Linked DNA regions of Schizosaccharomyces pombe. Changing the gene in region 2 together with the main gene of any one other region gives a genetic interaction. Each region holds a gene or a part of one and is shown on either strand. Other genes may lie near its edges.

Region 1 (3,592 bases), 140 kb from region 2:
TGTGCTTGAAGATTTAAATTATACTTGTTCCGGTACCTCAGCATTCCTGCAGCTAATTCTCTTGCGGAAATAGACATAGTAGACCATCCAACGTTTTTTCCTAGCTCGTTAGATTTGTTGCAAATTAATTTCAGAAGTTCCTCTCGCTTTAAGGAGGCCAAAGTTTTACTGTCAGCAAACCCATAGTTGGTCAAATCGAAATCGACTGGACAGTAAGCGACAGCATATACCATAGGTCCTAAGACAGGGCCTCTACCAGCTTCATCTACTCCTAATCGATATGGCTGACTCTTGGAAATATCATCAGTGACTGTTGAATGATAGTAATTCGATTTTGCGGGATTCGATTTATTAACTGAAGGTGGTAAAAAAGTTATTGAAGAATTTTGGTCTTCTTGTAGCTCATTTTCTGAAGAGTTATTGTCACTGACTAGTTCTTCTGGTTCCCATGCATCGTGATCATCTTTCATGTTGAGATTGCTGCTTTGTATCTTTTAAAGAATTATCAGAGTACTTCTAATATTTGGCTCAAAAACTGAATAAAAAAATAAATAAAGGGGTTGAAGGAATGCGCAAATAGGCCTAACACAGTTTTCTTTCGTTCGTGGTTTTAATTAGCGGTACTACGGTAAAACGATGTAAATAAAAAAAAAAGAAAAGCCAGACAAACAATTCATTACAGTTATAATGCTTTCTTTGATTGAGTAAAAATATTTTAATTGAGAAATGACTAAACTAAATGATTTACTTTTTAGACTTTCATTTTTTTAGAAAATTGTTCATTATCTTAAGCGAGTCATCTCCTAGCAATCGAAGCCTGCATACAAGATTTAACAAAAAAAAAGGAAATCATTAACATGGAACCTTGTAAAACGAATAACAACATCAAAGACCTTCTAAAATATCTTCTGGAGGGAAGTCTCCTACTTCAACTTCAGAAGATCGAAGAAAGGATCCATGTTTATTTTTCGCATTAAAGTATCTCTTTCCGCTGACTGTCCCATCATTTTTCCCAACTGGTTCATCAAATTCGACGCCAACCCACAGATTGTCATTATTAATTTCAGGCACTAGTCCAATATAGCGAATAGTTCCATATCTCTCTCCTGCTGCACAGCACCTAGAATTTAAATTTTTTTGTAAGTCGACTAATTCACGTTTTAAAGATTCTTGTCGAGAAGCTTTACTTGCTTCAAAGTCTGGATTGAATCGTCCAAGCTGATTTCTTTTTTTCCAGGCATAGACAGAATCTGTCCTGTTCTCATACTGTTCACGAGGCATTACATATTTATCAACCTGTGAAAGATCGTCAAAGTCTAGACGCAAATGAGGAGGGCGTGTATCCTCAACGACTATAGTCCCCAGAGGCTGAAGCTTGAATTCCCCTAGGTCTAAATTCTCTTCTTCGCTAGTGAAAACGTGTCCAGGGACTGTACTGGAAGCAGGTTCATACGTAAGTTTTTGGTATTGTTCTGGTGTCCCTACGATAGGAACTAATTTGGTCTTAAGCTGACTAACAGTCCATTGTGGGTTAATCCTTCGTTCAGCATTTGCAGAGGAAGATTTAATAAAGAGAGTTATCTCATTCATGTAGCAAATAATTTTAACTTAAGATATATGATTAATGAAAACGGAAAACACAAGAATATATAAAGTGGTGGAAGACGTAGTAGTTAAATGCTGACGCCGCCTTGGTCAGTCGTTCACAAATCACATCGAACTTGAACAATTACATAGAACCCTCGTTAACCAACTACATTTCGCATATGATCAATTAAATTTTAAGTCGATAATACTGTTGAACATAAGTGCAATCTTTGCTCAGTATAACCTTTTAATCGGTTGTTAATTGTTCTTCATTTATTAAAATGGCTTCTCAAGATCAAAATACAGGGACAACACATGTCGAATTGCAAGGTGGTGAAAATTCTAAAAAGCTTTTCTCCAAGTATGACCTTTGGTCAAAGGCAATGGATGAGAAGAAGCTGTCTTCCTCACTTTTCACAGTAAATGATACCCAAGAATTTCTTGAGCTTTGTGAAGCTTGTCGGCGTGGAGATTTGGAAGTTGTCAAGAGGTATGTGCAATTTAAAAATATTGAATCGATAAACAATTTTAACTGCAATTGCTAAATTCAAAATCCAGTTTGGTCGAAAACTATAACACACCTATTAATCAAGTAGACCAATTTGACTACTCGCCTTTAGTCCTTGCGAGTCTTTGCGGGCATGAACCAGGTATGCTATGAATGTTTTGCTCTCAATTATTATATTTTCTCACGCTTAAGTTGTAAAATTTCTTCTTGAAAATGGTGCTTTATGCGAACGAGATACTTTTCAAGGAGAAAGATGTTTGTATGGTGCCCTTAATGATAATATTCGCCGTATGCTTCTTTCTTATGATATTACTAAAGCCATTGATGAGTCCCAACCTTATGCTAGTCACATAACTTCCTTGTTGTCGAACTCGGCTTTACATTTTACTACTGACATAGTCTTTGCCGGTCAATATGGTAGGGTTTTTGCTCATAAATTCTATTTAGCTGCCAGAAGTTCATATTTTAAATCAAAATTTTCGAAATTGGGACCCAGTGAACATGAAATTGAAGTCAAACATTTTGCTAAAGAGTTTGAATCAATTTTGCGATATCTCTACTTAGACACAAATGCTGTTTTCACCAAACAGTATAACAATGCTCTTCTGAGTATTGGAAAAAAATTCCAGTTAAACGATTTTATCGCATTGTATGAAAAAGATCGCGAGCAGTTACACTCTAGAGATTGGAAGAAAATCCAGTTGGCAAAAACTCAAAATGATCTAGGAGAATTTTTGGATTATATAATCTCTAACTACAAAGTACCCATTGAATCTCTTAACCAACCTTCCGATCAGTATTCGTTTCACGATGCTTACTTGCAATCTTATACACACCGCTATCCCGTCCATCGTGCCATCATGTGCAGATGTGAATATTTTTTGGACATGTTAGCAGGACCATTTTTGGAAAGCAATCAAGAACTACCGGTTTTGTCTTTACCTTTTTCAAGTTCTGTTGTTGAAATTGTATTGAAGTTTTTATATACCGACAAAACTGATATAGCGCCGGAATTAGCTTTAGATGTAGTTTACGTTGCAGACATGTTGTCGTTAGATAAAGATAGAAGCTTGAAATCTTTAGCTTCTATAGTTATTACTAAACAAGAAGAGCCTATAGATAGTATTTACGATATTCTACGAACAGCTTGGGATACGTCTACGCCTCGCCTGGAGCAATACGCTTCCGAATATATGGCAAATCATTTGGAGCACTTGATTGACGATCCTGAATTCTGTGAATTAGTCAAAGAAAGTGCTGATCGAATTTTACAGAGACAAGAAACAGACACGATCGAACTCATTGATGATATTCGTTATTTCCTCTCAAAACGTTTTGGCATTTACCATGAGGATTTGTGCATTGATGGAGTTGTAGATACATTAACACCTTATGAAAGCGAATATAATCAAAAAATGGAGATGATTGACGATTTACTAGATAAACTGGAGCTACAAGCTTAATGGCAATGGTAGAAAAAATAATATTTCTTGAACA
Region 2 (3,757 bases):
TCGAACCGATTAAATAACTTAGAGGCACTTTTCATATATGGTATATACATGGAATTAGTATATTTAAAGAGTTATTGAATATTAAATATAAAAAACTTCTAATGACTAATCGCGTAAACTATAATACTAGAAAAGAGTTCGCTAAAAAGATTTTTCTGTATTTTAAAAGAAGCCGTAAAACTAGAGCATCGATTTTGGTCCTTCAAGTAATAACTTGGCTTTAGACGTTTCCACTTTCCTTTGCATATACATCGATAAAAGTACAAGTAAAAGGGAGTTCAAAGAGACGCTTTTGGTCGTCTCTGACAGTCTTTGGAGAGAAGCTTACATCTCGTTCGCTTGAAGCAAAGACAAAAGTAGACGTATGTACTGGAATTGCGAAGTGGTATGAAATTAAAGCTTTTATATCTAACAGTTTCCAATTATAATGGAGCTTTAATAACATTGTCGCACCTGAGTTAATTGACGATATTTTGATGCCCTTTGTTATGCGATTTTTAAGAATGCCAGACGTCCAGTCATTGATTGAAGCTTCCAAATGGAATTGAATGCTTGGCAACTCGTGAGATTTCCATATTTCCTCCCAGAATGGCTCTATTTTCGTAAGCTCTTCAACATCCTTAATTTCATTATCAATCACAAGCTTCCGGATGCATGAAGTGTAGTACAACTCAGCATCCAAACGCTCATTAGGTGATATATTCACATCATTCAATTTTACAAGAGAAGGAATTCGCGCAATCACCAGCAGTTTAGCTATATCAGTAGGTTTATTAAAATAAGAAAGTGTTATACGCAGGTGCTTTAAGTTTTCTAATGTACGAAGATGATCCAGAGAACGAATATCCCTAATGTTGTTTTCTGATATGTCAAGGAATGTCAATTTGTGTAAAGTGTGTACAGGTAGTTCTGCAACATCAGCGAGGGAGGTAGAAGATAAATTCAAATTGTTAATTCTTTAGATTAGAAACCTAATTCGTATTTCTCAAATATACTTACCCTTGGAACACATCAACTGCATAGCCATCAGCACTATAAAGATTGAGATTATTTGCAAGACTTAACGTTTGAAGGAACTGCAGATTTTTAAAAGATGTTGCTTTTGATAAAATTATTTCATTTGCTTCAAGGTAAAGTACTTCCAAACTGGGAAAAGTCTCTGTAATCCATTGAACATCTTTACTGTTTAGGCCACATCCATTCACTGAAAGTTGTGTTAAATGAGGAATTAAAAGAACGGTATTTGAGCTAATAAAATTTGAAAATAAGTTTGAACTGAAAGAGTTAGAATATACGTGTAGAGATAAACAAAAACACATGCTCTAGAGTTAAATTTCTTAATGAAGGAAGCTGGGAACACAATTTAAGGATTGGAAAAAATTCATGAAACAAATTTCTCGATAAATCTAAGTCGATAACTTCTACAAATTCCGTTAACATTTAGTTGAAAATAAGTGACATACCAGGTAGTATTTTAGAATACTCGTACTCTATTTCAATATCTTCAATCCTATAATTGTCTAGAATAATAACGCGCAAGCTTTTTAAATCTCTTTGCTTGCTTTGGATTTTTTCGAAACCACAGAATTCTACCTGTTTTCCACTTTTAAATTCAACAGAGGAAGGTAGGGGACTTGAATATGAATATTTTTCGTAAAGTGCTTCCAAAAATGTTCTGCATGGATCAAAAGGGAATCCTTTGTCTACAAATATTTTTCCTTCTTTTACAATTCTAATAGTTTAGTTTCTTGTCGTCAATAACAATCTTACAATGGTTTTTTGTTTCTCCAACACGTTTTAACAAACTGTTTTGCATTTACGTTTTTATCAAGTATGACTTGGTATCGATCATTGTTTCCTTCGATGGTTAATGTTACTAAAGTATTAGATATAGAAGCCCTAACCATTCCAGTGGATATATGCATTATTAATCAACGTGGGAAAGAAAATGGATTGCTATAAAAATTTGGGCAGTTTAAGTTTTTTGTTTCTTTCAAATTTTGTCTTTTATCTACAACAAAAAGTTTTAACCGCACTTTTTCTTTGCGACATAGAAGTGTTCAGTACGTAGTGATAATATAGATGGCATCAGATTTGTTAGGAAAATAGTTGGAAATACTGCTTATTATTATACGGGTTTTGATTCTAATGTCGATCTCATTTTTAAATGTGCTGCTTTATTAAGTCTCTCAATGTTAATGTAAATAATCTATTGTTGGCTGCATACCTCGTAAAGTACAACTTGATACCAATGAATATATTAATTATCAAACAATGCGTTTAAATGTATCAAGCACCAAGCACGATGTAGATTGGAAGCAGCACTATCGAGAATTATCACTTTTTTAAATGAACTGTACATAAAGGAAATGTTGCTTTTTGGGGGCGAGAACTCCATCCTGGGAGAATTCGCAATTGTTGATCTGCAACCCATTTGAGACTTCTAAAATTTACCTCGTGAATGGCAAAAAATTCGATCTCTCGGAGAACTTTGTCATTTGATAACAAAGGAAAAGAAATTATCTTTAAAAAACGAATTGCGAATTCAGTTCCCATTTTTTTGCTCAATATCGAAATCAGAGTTCTGGTCCAGTCGCTGCTATTACGGAAACAATCAACAATGTAATCAAACTGAAGCCCAGATAACCGTATATACTTTAAAGCATAACTTAATTTATTTTTTTTTAAACAATAACAAAAAAATCTGGGCAGGTTTTTTGGCATTATTTCGATTCCTCGTTTTCTGTAAAAGTCTTTTACTTCGAAGGAATTCACACCTTGTAGTAATAATAAATTAATCTTATAACGACTAACTTCGTTTAAATTTTTCTTTTTGTTTATATAATAAATACAGGCATTCAAAAAACCTTGATTCTCTTGCATTTCACCAAACATCTTCAAAAGAGAGAAAATAAAATTTTCCGGAATTTGGCCTTTATGCTCTTCCCAATTTTGATTTATTTCTTGAAAAATTAAACGATCTTTAAAGACGACAACGTAATTAGCGAGTACATTTAGCAGGCTATAGCAATTTAACAAAAAAAGCTGACGAATAGGTAAAACATGCTCCAGTAGTTTTTTGCAATCTTCTTTCTTTCTTAATAAAATAAAACGAGAAAGAAAAATTGCTTGTACGTCAGCCAAATCAGATAAATTGTAGTGATCTCGTATAATATGTAAATATGCGGAATAGACCTCCATAGAGCCTTCTACTATATTGGAAAAATTTTTGAAAAAAGAAACAAAAAACTCAATTTTTACCGGCCATCCCTTATTAAATGAGTGAATGAGCCACATTTTAAGAGAGCAGCTATTTTTAGCCGAAAGGAGAGATATAAAGACTTTATCCAGAAACTGTTCAGATGGAGTTATCCTTTCATTATCAATATGCTCCATAAGCTGAAAAAACGCACGTAAACGTAAAAAAATTTCAGCCTTCTCCATCTTCGAAAAAGCAATAGACGGTGGTAGCATAGAATTAGCTAACATGCAATGGCTCGAATTTCCATGGAAAAGACTGTAATCTCTAATGAGAAGCAAGAAAAGTGTGCGGAAATCATTAAAAGTTTTTGAATTAAGTGAAGAGCGAATATTAGCGCTTTTCAGCAGTTTTTCAACTTTGTGGTACGGTCCATCTTTTCGAAAATATATAGAAGAGAATGAACTGTCATATTTAAACAGATCAATTGTTTGCAAAATTATTTTTAAAGAAGATTTTAAGTCAGTTCTACTCAAATTTACAGTAGATACGCAAATA

What was found. Genes that interact genetically often act in the same process or in processes that back each other up.
Region 1: of alp21 (region 2) and alp11, extra expression of one rescues a mutant of the other (dosage rescue), as found in Schizosaccharomyces pombe (2 studies listed by BioGRID).

Annotation. Positions count from the first base shown.
Region 1 is NC_003424.3:2,251,466-2,255,057, reverse strand, and holds alp11 (tubulin-specific chaperone cofactor B), read right to left. Parts: upstream 1,676-3,592; 5' UTR 1,591-1,675; coding exon 886-1,590; 3' UTR 618-885; downstream 1-617. Other genes in the region: ribonuclease H2 complex subunit Rnh201, read right to left, coding at 1-470; ubiquitin ligase Btb3, read left to right, coding at 1,869-2,077, 2,146-2,237, 2,288-3,558. UniProt on the Schizosaccharomyces pombe protein: Required for microtubule function and cell polarity. Involved in the proper folding of alpha-tubulin.
Region 2 is NC_003424.3:2,388,254-2,392,010, reverse strand, and holds alp21 (tubulin-specific chaperone cofactor E), read right to left. Parts: upstream 2,076-3,757; 5' UTR 1,926-2,075; coding exon 1,771-1,925; exon of another isoform or gene 1,733-1,770; coding exon 1,464-1,732; exon of another isoform or gene 1,422-1,463; coding exon 1,322-1,421; exon of another isoform or gene 1,276-1,321; coding exon 1,000-1,275; intron 957-999; coding exon 221-956; 3' UTR 68-220; downstream 1-67. Other genes in the region: protein Cbp8, read right to left, coding at 2,338-3,757.